Linked DNA regions of Rattus norvegicus. The protein of the gene in region 2 binds, or shares a complex with, the protein of the main gene of each other region. Links are inferred from orthologs where the notes say so. Each region holds a gene or a part of one and is shown on either strand. Other genes may lie near its edges. The genes, in order: Asdurf and Pdrg1.

Region 1 (4,564 bases), on a different chromosome or scaffold from region 2:
AAAGAAAGGAAGAAAGCCAGCAAGCAAGCACGCACTGTGATAAGGTACTGCTTGGCTATAGTCCTGAGCAGTCAAAGCTCTCAAGAAATGAACGAAAGCTCTGCCTCAATTGCAAGAGGAAAAGGCTCCCAAGGCTCCCTTAGCATTGGTTACAGAACTGACAGTGGTTCTTAATCATTGGCAATGAAGTCTGTATTCTGCTTTCTCCTGTGTTGTGCTATGAGAGCACCTACTATGTCACAGTCCATTCACTCCATCATACAGCACCAATATTCCTAGCCACCCATGAGTGGTGTCCCAGGGTCATGACAATCATGTCCTTGCACTGAAAGTCCATGCTTCAGGCCGCAGTACCCATGACATGCTAATAAAAAAGAAGAATGCGACTTGCACAGTGATGTTGAACAGGATCCTCTTATCACCCACTCTTGAACTTCAGGAATATTCAGAAGAGTGATTACCACAGATAAACAAAGTCACTGATCACTATGCCACCCAGAGACGGTTGTTTGCTTCACATGTGTCATCACACCATAGTCTTTCAAATAACAAAGGCTATCACAGCAACAGGTTTATAATTTAGTTCATAAACGAATAATACATGGAGATCTTTTCTGACCAAGGAAGGTTCTTTTATATCACCACATTGGTACAATGTATAGTTCTTTACTGCCTTCAAGCTCAGTCATTTACTGTTCTGTCAACTCTTCACTACAGATGCTGGCAAGTACCTTTGCAGGTAAACACGCATTCATCCTCACAACTGCTTCCACACCGGTTACTCTGAAGTGTCATACAGCATTTACTCATTTTGCCAGTTTGATCTCCAAAAATTTCTGTATTAATTTGCCCTAGCATCTAATATTTCACAAATGACAATATCAGAAATGTCGATTATTAGTTAATTGTAGCTGATTTATTAACACATTTATTTAAAAGCCATGAAATGGGTTAAGTATTTGGAATATTAAAGTTTTCTATGGAAAACTTCATTCTTTTTTGTTAAAATATAATTTTTTCATCTTTGAGATCTACTGACTTATACAGGAAGAACAAATTTAAAACATGCAAAACCAAATGAGGATATCACTTTAGTTTTTAAATTACGATGTTTGAATTTTGCAATGTTAGCATAAATAATCTAAATCATAATTTTAATATTATATATATATATACTATTCAGATTCCCACAGCAACTTACCCGATTCTTCTTCAGGTTAGAAAGTTCATCCACAATAACTTTCTGTTCTTTAATCTATTAAAGTAAAGAAAAAAACCTAAAGTGGAAGTTTTCAAACTATGTTTAGTGAGCACATTTTTAGCAACTGCTTTAAAACAAAACATGGGACTGGGGCCTGTCATGGACTGCCTGTCTAAATGGATACTGTACAGATGCAACCACACTCAGGCTGGAACCAGTAGAAGACAGCTGGAGAAAGAAGCTGACTTAGACTTGCCAGGCGCCAGTTACCACAGCTCACATCTTTAACCAGGGTGAGACACTGTCTAGCCAAATTAATACCAATCTTTTAATTTTATAAGGCCTGGCTGTAGACTAAAAAAGAGAAATGAATGTGGCTTCTCCTCTTTACCAATAGCCAGTGGTTTTATGATGTATGCACTGGATGACAGCCAGACATTCGGATAAAATGAACGGAACGGTACTGAACGAACGCCCTTCCTGCAGTGGTACAACATCATCTCCCACCCTTGTATCATTCTATTTTGAGTATTAAGGACAGCATACTGCTGGTATCCTTAAGCTCAGTTTGTTCCTTATCATCAGATGAAATGCCCAAATAGGCAATAAGTCTACACTGACACAGCTACACAGTGCCAAGAGGCTTGCTATGGCAGTAGCCAGAGTATTCTGAAAACTCATCCCCACCCAAATGAGTGTGCATGGGCAGTGCTAAGAGCTGTACTAACATACGACAAAGCTACATTGAGTACACCCTCCCTGAGATTCAAGGCTGCTTGTACAGCGCTTTTATGCTCACTACAAACGACAGGTATATAATATATCTCACTTTAGGTGACACCACAGAATACTGTGGCACACTGGAAATAAGGCAATGTACTGAAGATGTCATACAGGACAGAAAAAAAATATGGAATTCAGGATGTTTAATAACTGAAAAGGCTGCACCCACACCCCCTCCAATCCACACGTTTAAAGATTTTTGTCTGTAACTGGAAGTTGAGATCACTGTACAGTTCAGGTATGGGGTTGCCTCCCTGAAATCCTGACTATTAGGCAAGAGAATAATTCAAGGTGATCCTCAAACAATATTTGAGGCTGGCCTGAGCTACTTATGAAACCCTATCCCAAAAAGAGGAAGGGAAAAAATTAATCTGCTACAGTCCTGGTTGAATAATAAAGAGATGACCAAACTGATGTTTTTAGGATCACTTAAAGGTGAGAATATATTTTAAGGTCAACAGGCAACTGATAACTTCGGTTAAGAAAATTTTGCCTGAGTCTGGAAGAACGGGCAGATTTCTAAACTTTCATGATGGACGTCATGGATGGCGTCCAGGCGGGTACATGGCTAAATGGATGAAGCACAGCCAACGAGCAACAGATCACATGTGTGAAGGGTTCCGAGAGGAGAGTGGTGCAAACGCGTAAAGGAAAAACGTCATTAAGACCTCTGTCTCAGTATCACTGTTGTTTGCAGTGGATAAATCTGTGCCTCCATCATAGCAAATCTGCAGGACGCAGGGGAAACCAGCGGCCGGTGCTGAGAATGGACCGGTGAGGCTACTGGGCACCGATGCGACCGCGGGACCCGTTTCCCGCCGCCCGCCGCCCACCGCCCATCCTCGGCGTCCCACGGCACCTTACTGCTAAGGGCCTCGGCGTGCGCGGTCGATGTGCGGGTGGGTCCCGGCGCGGCGCTGTCTCCGGGGTGCTCCGCACCGCTAGGCATCGCCACGCCGCACCGAACGGAGGAACCGCGGTGGATGAAACAGCAGGCGGCAGGCCCAACCGGAAGCCAGTGTTCCTTTCAGGACCCTGCCCCTTCCGGAACCTCGACCAATGGAGTGCGCATATTTACGCCTGCTCAGTAGCAGGCGTGGATACTAGATCCTGGAACTCCGACTTTAAGTAGCTGTGCATCAGCGCACATTAGTTTTGGCTAAAGGTTCGTCTGGCTTGGCTGGAGAGTCTATGAATGGTCTGTGTTGCCCCCTAGCGGATGCTATGTAAAAATAAATCACTAATCAGTAGTGTGCCTAACACTGTGGTCTTGGCTTTTTTTTTTTAATTTTTTAAATTGGATATTTTTATTTACATTTCAAATGTTATTCCCCTTTCCGGTTTCCCATTCATAAACACCGTATCCCATCCCCACTTCCCCTTCTTCTATGAAGGTGTTCCCCGTCCCCAACCACCAACCGCTTCCCACCTCCCCACCCTGACATTCCCCAACAATGAGGATCCAGCCTTGGTAAGACCAAGGACTTTTCCTCCCCTTAGTGCCCAACAAGGCCATACTCTGCTACATATGCAGCTGTAGCCATGGGTTTGTCCATGTATATAGTCTTTGGATGGTGATTTAGTCCCTGGAGCTCTGGTTGGTTGGTATTGTTGTTCTTATGGGGTTGCAAGCTCCTTCACCTCCTTCAATCCTTTCTCTAACTCCTCCAATGGTACCCCGTTCTCAGTTCAATGGTTTGCTGCTAGCATTTGCCTGTGTATTTGTAATGCTCTGACTGAGCCTCTCAGGAGACAGCTGTATCAGGCTCCTGTCAGCATGCACTTCTGGGCATCAGAAATATTGTATGTTTATGGGCTGGAACCTCAGGTAGGGCAGGTTCTGAATGGCAATTCCTTCAGTCTCTGTTCCAAGCTTTGTCTCCATATCTCCTCCTATGAATATTTTTACTCCCCCTTTTAAGAAGAACTGAAGCATCCACAGTTTGGTCGTCCTTCTTAAGCTTCATGTGGTCTGTGGATTGGATCTTGGGTAATTCGAGATTTTTGGCTAATATCCACTATCAGTGAGTGTGCATACCATGTGGTTTTTTTTTTTTTGTTTTTTTGTTTTTTGTTTTTTTTTTTGTGATTGGGTTACCTCACTAGGGATGATATTTTCTAGTTCCATCGATTTGCCTATGGATTTCATGAAGTCATTATTTTTGTAGAAATATACCACATTTTATATCCATCCTCTGTTGAGGGTTATTTGATTCTTTCCAGCTTCTGGCTATTATAAATAAGGCTACTGTGAACATAGTGGAGCATGTGTCCTTGTTATACGTTAGAGCATCTTTTGGGTATATGCCCAGGAGTGGTATAACTGGGTCCTAAGATAGTACTACTTCCAATTTTCTGAGGAACCTCCAGATTGATTTCCAGAGTGGCTGTACCAGCTTGCAAACCCACCAACAATGGAGGAGTGTTCCTCTTTCTCCACATCCATGTCAGCATCTGTTGTCACCTGAGTTTTTGTTCTTAGCCATTCTCACTGGTGTGAGGTGGAATCTCAGGGTTGTTTTGATTTGCATTTCCCTGATGACTAAGGATGTTGAACATTTCTTTAGTTACCTCTTAGCC
Region 2 (4,319 bases):
AGAGTCAAAAAAGGAGACTAAAAAATGGATGTCAGAGTTGAGTCTTAGGGCTGGGGAGGTGGCTTAGTGAGTGAGGAGTGTTCACTTTACACTCAGAATGAGGATCTGAGTTTGAATCCCAAACACCTACAGAAAAATCCAGACATGGTTGTGTGGGCCTGTCACTTCAGCATTGGGGAGCAAACAGCCACAGGCAGATCCAGAGAGCCCCAAGTCTAGGCTGCCTAACCCAAAAGAGCTTCCGTTTCAACGAGAGGCTCTATTTCATGACAATAAGGTGGAGAATGTCAAAGGAAGACACCTGTCACCCTGCTCTGGCCTCTGCTTGTCTCTGCAGGGGCACAGAGTACCCTTATATGCATGCACCACACACATACACTCACACAAAAGAAAACAGATGAGATATAGCTCAGGTGTAGCGCTTGAGAGGCACTGGGGTAATTCCAGTTCCACACACGGAAAAACAAGAGGATGGGTGAGGTAGCCCGCCTCTAAGCCTCCAGCTTTGCAAATGTACAGTAAGAGATTGGGGGACCCCTCTGGTTCTGTCGGGCAGTCATCACCCTCCCACCCCCACCCCCCGGAAGTCCAGGATCCTAATTCACTCTTCAGATCTTACTGACACTTCATTGCTCACCCTGGACAGTTTCCAGCTCCTTCTGTGAATCTTGGCTTGCTACTGTGGACATTAGATTCAACAAACGCTGCAACCAGATGTAATTTAAAATGATTTCTGCTTCCTTTCTGTCTTCCGTGGTGGTGGGGGCGGGGGGGGGAGACAGGAAAGACAGAGACAGAGACAGAGAGACAGAGAGAGTCAGTGCGGGGAATTTCTATACCCATTATTTACAAACTGGAAGCTGAAAGTGTCGCGGGTTAAAATATGAGTCTCTTTGCCACACTCAGTTTCTTGGCGATGTTAAACTGGACTTTATGATCTCTGTGTCTCCAAAGCCATTATCGCTACCTCCCATAATGTGTAATTATTTTGCTGTCAGTGTTTGCTGTTTTCCAATGGAATGACGTTCCTAGAGCCGGGATGCTTCTTTTGCAGCCGCCTTCCCGACACCCAACCTGGTTTATGGTGGATGCCCAGGAACCCTTTGAAGGGAGGGGAAAGGGCAGTGCGTTGGGCTGCTCGATCAGAGCCTGCAGGGGGCGCATCTTCCCTGCTCCCAAAGCCTGACCCTCCCCTCTGGAGCCCAGCTGAGGCGCATGTTCTTTTCACTGCGCAGGCTTGCCGGAAGTCCCAGAACGGCGCGTGCGCGGAAGGAGCTGGGGTGAAGTAGTAGTGCGAGTGTCGGAAGAGGTCTGTGGCACCATGGTGTCCCCCGAGGCGGATCGAGTGCTGCGGTACCTGGTCGAAGTGGAGGAGCTGGCAGAGGCAGTGCTCTCAGACAAGCGGCAGGTGAGAGACGCGGCGGCCGCGAGCGCCCTACGCAAGTGCGCGGCGTCGCAGGGTGATCACCGGGCCTCCCGGCGTCACTGCTCCTAGCGGCCTGGTGCCTAGTGAGCGCCAGTCAGTTCTGTATTGGGCAGTTGCCTTCCTTTCACCCTGCCCCGTCATTGCTGGTCCCCCGGATCCCTGACACCACTTTCCAAACGCAGTCCCAGGCCCATCTTGAATCAGGTTGTTGAGACATGGGCAGGATGTGTCTGGGCAGTACACTGATGTGCGTGTGCGTGTGCGTGGGGGGCGGCGGCTTGGTTGAAGGCTTCGTAGACCCGAAAGGGGTGCTTGGCTCTGGTTCTGTGGTAAGTAGTCCCTAAAGGGAGTTCGTCCTGGGGATGTTATCATTGAATAGTGACTGATAGATTGATCGGTTGGTTTAGACTAAACTTTAGAGGATCTCATGTATCTCAGACTTCTCGAACTCACTGTGTCGCCTAAGACAGCCTTGAACAACCCGTGGTATGTCCTTGTCAGTGTCCTGAGTTCTGGGATTACAGGTGTGCATTTAGATTTTAAAAGTCTCTCTCTGGCTCCTTCCTAGAGTGCAGCGAGCCATTTAGCTGATCCAGATGATCTGGATTTAGACAAGATGGGAATGATGGGGTGAGACATATACTTGGTGGTCTTCAGAAGCTACCATAATGACCGTAATGACTCTTCGTGATCTATATTTGAAAAGGCTTGATGGTTCACTAGCTGCAGCCCCAGAAAGTCGCCTCTTGAGCAGTTAGTTGTCATAGTGGTACGGTGCAACAGCTGCTCCAGTCCAGTATGGTTGAATGTCTGGTGAGACTGTCAGAGTTACTTAACAAGAGCTTGTCAATAGTCACTGTCTAGAGGAGACACTCAACTAACTCCCTGGTGACCCCGGTATACTCTCAAGTTTGAGTGGATGATACAAAGTGGCTCAATCTGCAAACATTTTCCCACCACCTTCTGTGGAGGAGGAAAGCTCCATACAAACAGAGGAGCTGGAAACCAAGTGGGTAAAGAAGAACGTTCACACCTGAGTCGTCCATGTCAGGCAAGACATTGGAACTTCACCAGAAACGATACCTTGTTTCTTCAGATTGGGGCAGGAGGCAGCTGAGTTCCCATCTGCTCCTGTTTTCAGATTGTAGACCTGGACACCAAGAGGAATCAGAACCGAGAGGGCCTGAGGGCCCTACAGAAAGACCCGAGTGTCTCTGGTAAGTTGTGGCATCCTTACTGAAGCCCTGGAAGCTGGTTCAGGGACTTCATTATCCCTGGTAAAGACCAGCCAGGCAGGAGGCTGGGACTGTGTGACTCACCCTCATGGGGAACTAAGACAGCTTGTGGAGAAGAGCAAGCCAGTGTTGCAGGTCAGACATATGCTGTGACTCAGAATTTAGCTGCTCACTTCAGCGACAGGCCATTAGCTCATCACTCACTGACGGCAGATACAGAGAGTGCTCACGGCACATAAAAAGCAATAGTTCTGCCCTTATGTTCCACATGAGGAAAAGCAGCATAGACACATAACTGAAAATGGTGAGAGGCCATGGGTGGGTATTGAGGCCAGGTGGCTGTGGCTGGTGGTAGCAAGCAGAGGTCTGACATGAAGCAGTTCTGGAAAGGAGGGCAGCATCCAGGCCATAGTGAAGGCTGACATGTAGGGCTTCCACTGGCTTATCTCACCTGAGTGAAACCCAGAGCTGTCCTGCAGGACTCCCCATGACCCAGCCCCACACCCCTATTAGCCCTGACTCTCCTGCTCACTCACTGGTCCCTTGGTTGTTAGCCTGGCTCTGTTTTCCCACATGTCTGTAAGTGTAGTGTCCTCCCTTTCCTCAGTTCTGTGCCTGAATGTCACATCTACATAGAAGTCTCATACCAACTTTCAACACATCAGTCCTCTGACAATTCCCAGCTCTTTAAACAGCTTTTGTTGTTGTTGTTGGGTTTTTTGTCTGTCTGTTTAATTAACTGGTCCTTTTGCCACACTCTGGGCTCTTCCACCCTTCTCCCCCAACTTTTCCACCTTTTCAACCCCCAACACTAGATAAGAGAGAAAAAAGGATGAAGAAAAGAGATCCTTGAATAAAGTCAGGGGGGTTGGAAAGGGGGCACCTAGCGTTATTACACCCTCTCAAAAGCCCTCAGAATTCCAAACATCACACACTCGAAGAAACTATCTGCAGCTGGCAAAATCATGCCAGAGCATGAGGCAAACCACAGTCAGCTGCTGTGCTCAGTCTCTCTGAGCTCCCCATATCCCACACCTGGGATTATAAGGAAGACATAATTCTTACAGGATTTCTGTGTTTGTTTATTTGTTTGTTTTTAAAGAAACAAAAATGCCAAAACTGCCACTACAGGTTTCCATGCTAGTTCTTAAGCGGTGTGTGGAAAACAGCTTCGCTCACTCCCCATCTTTTGCTATGACGTGATTTCCACGAGAGCATGAACTGTCTTGTTCTGCTATGTTCTTAGCATCTGAACAGTGCCTGTCAGATGATAGGTGCTTCAAAAGGGAAAAACAAAACATGAAGAAATGTCTGTTTGCTGTTTCAGAAGACGTGATGGTTTGCTTTGGGAACATGTTCATCAAAATGCCTCACCTTAAGACGAAGGAAATGATCCAGAAAGGTAAGGTGTCCTGAAGAGGGGTCAAGGACATGGCTACCTTCCCCCCAGTCTGAATCATAATCCAGCACTGAGAACCAAAACTGTATTAGGCTGGGGAAAGGCAAAGGGCTTCTTCCATATGGGCCTTTGCTTTCTGTTTGAAAATAAGGCCACTCTCTGCCAGAATCTCATTGGTCAAGGCCATCCGTAGCTGTGAAGGGTCATGGATAAGTGAAGTTTTGCATGAGCCTGTGTGTCTGTGTGTTTGTGGCGTGTG

Evidence for each region.
Region 1: Pdrg1 (region 2) and Asdurf share a complex: the UniProt entries of both Homo sapiens proteins name them as parts of the PAQosome complex. The link is inferred for Rattus norvegicus from reciprocal best matches to the Homo sapiens genes PDRG1 and ASDURF.

What each region holds. Positions count from the first base shown.
Region 1 is NC_086027.1:55,617,225-55,621,788, reverse strand, and holds the start of Asdurf (ASNSD1 upstream open reading frame protein), read right to left. Parts: upstream 2,991-4,564; 5' UTR 2,934-2,990; coding exon 2,844-2,933; intron 1,256-2,843; coding exon 1,202-1,255; intron 1-1,201.
Region 2 is NC_086021.1:161,940,951-161,945,269, reverse strand, and holds the start of Pdrg1 (p53 and DNA damage-regulated protein 1), read left to right. Parts: upstream 1-1,288; 5' UTR 1,289-1,321; coding exon 1,322-1,408; intron 1,409-2,567; coding exon 2,568-2,643; intron 2,644-3,988; coding exon 3,989-4,063; intron 4,064-4,319. UniProt on the Homo sapiens protein: May play a role in chaperone-mediated protein folding.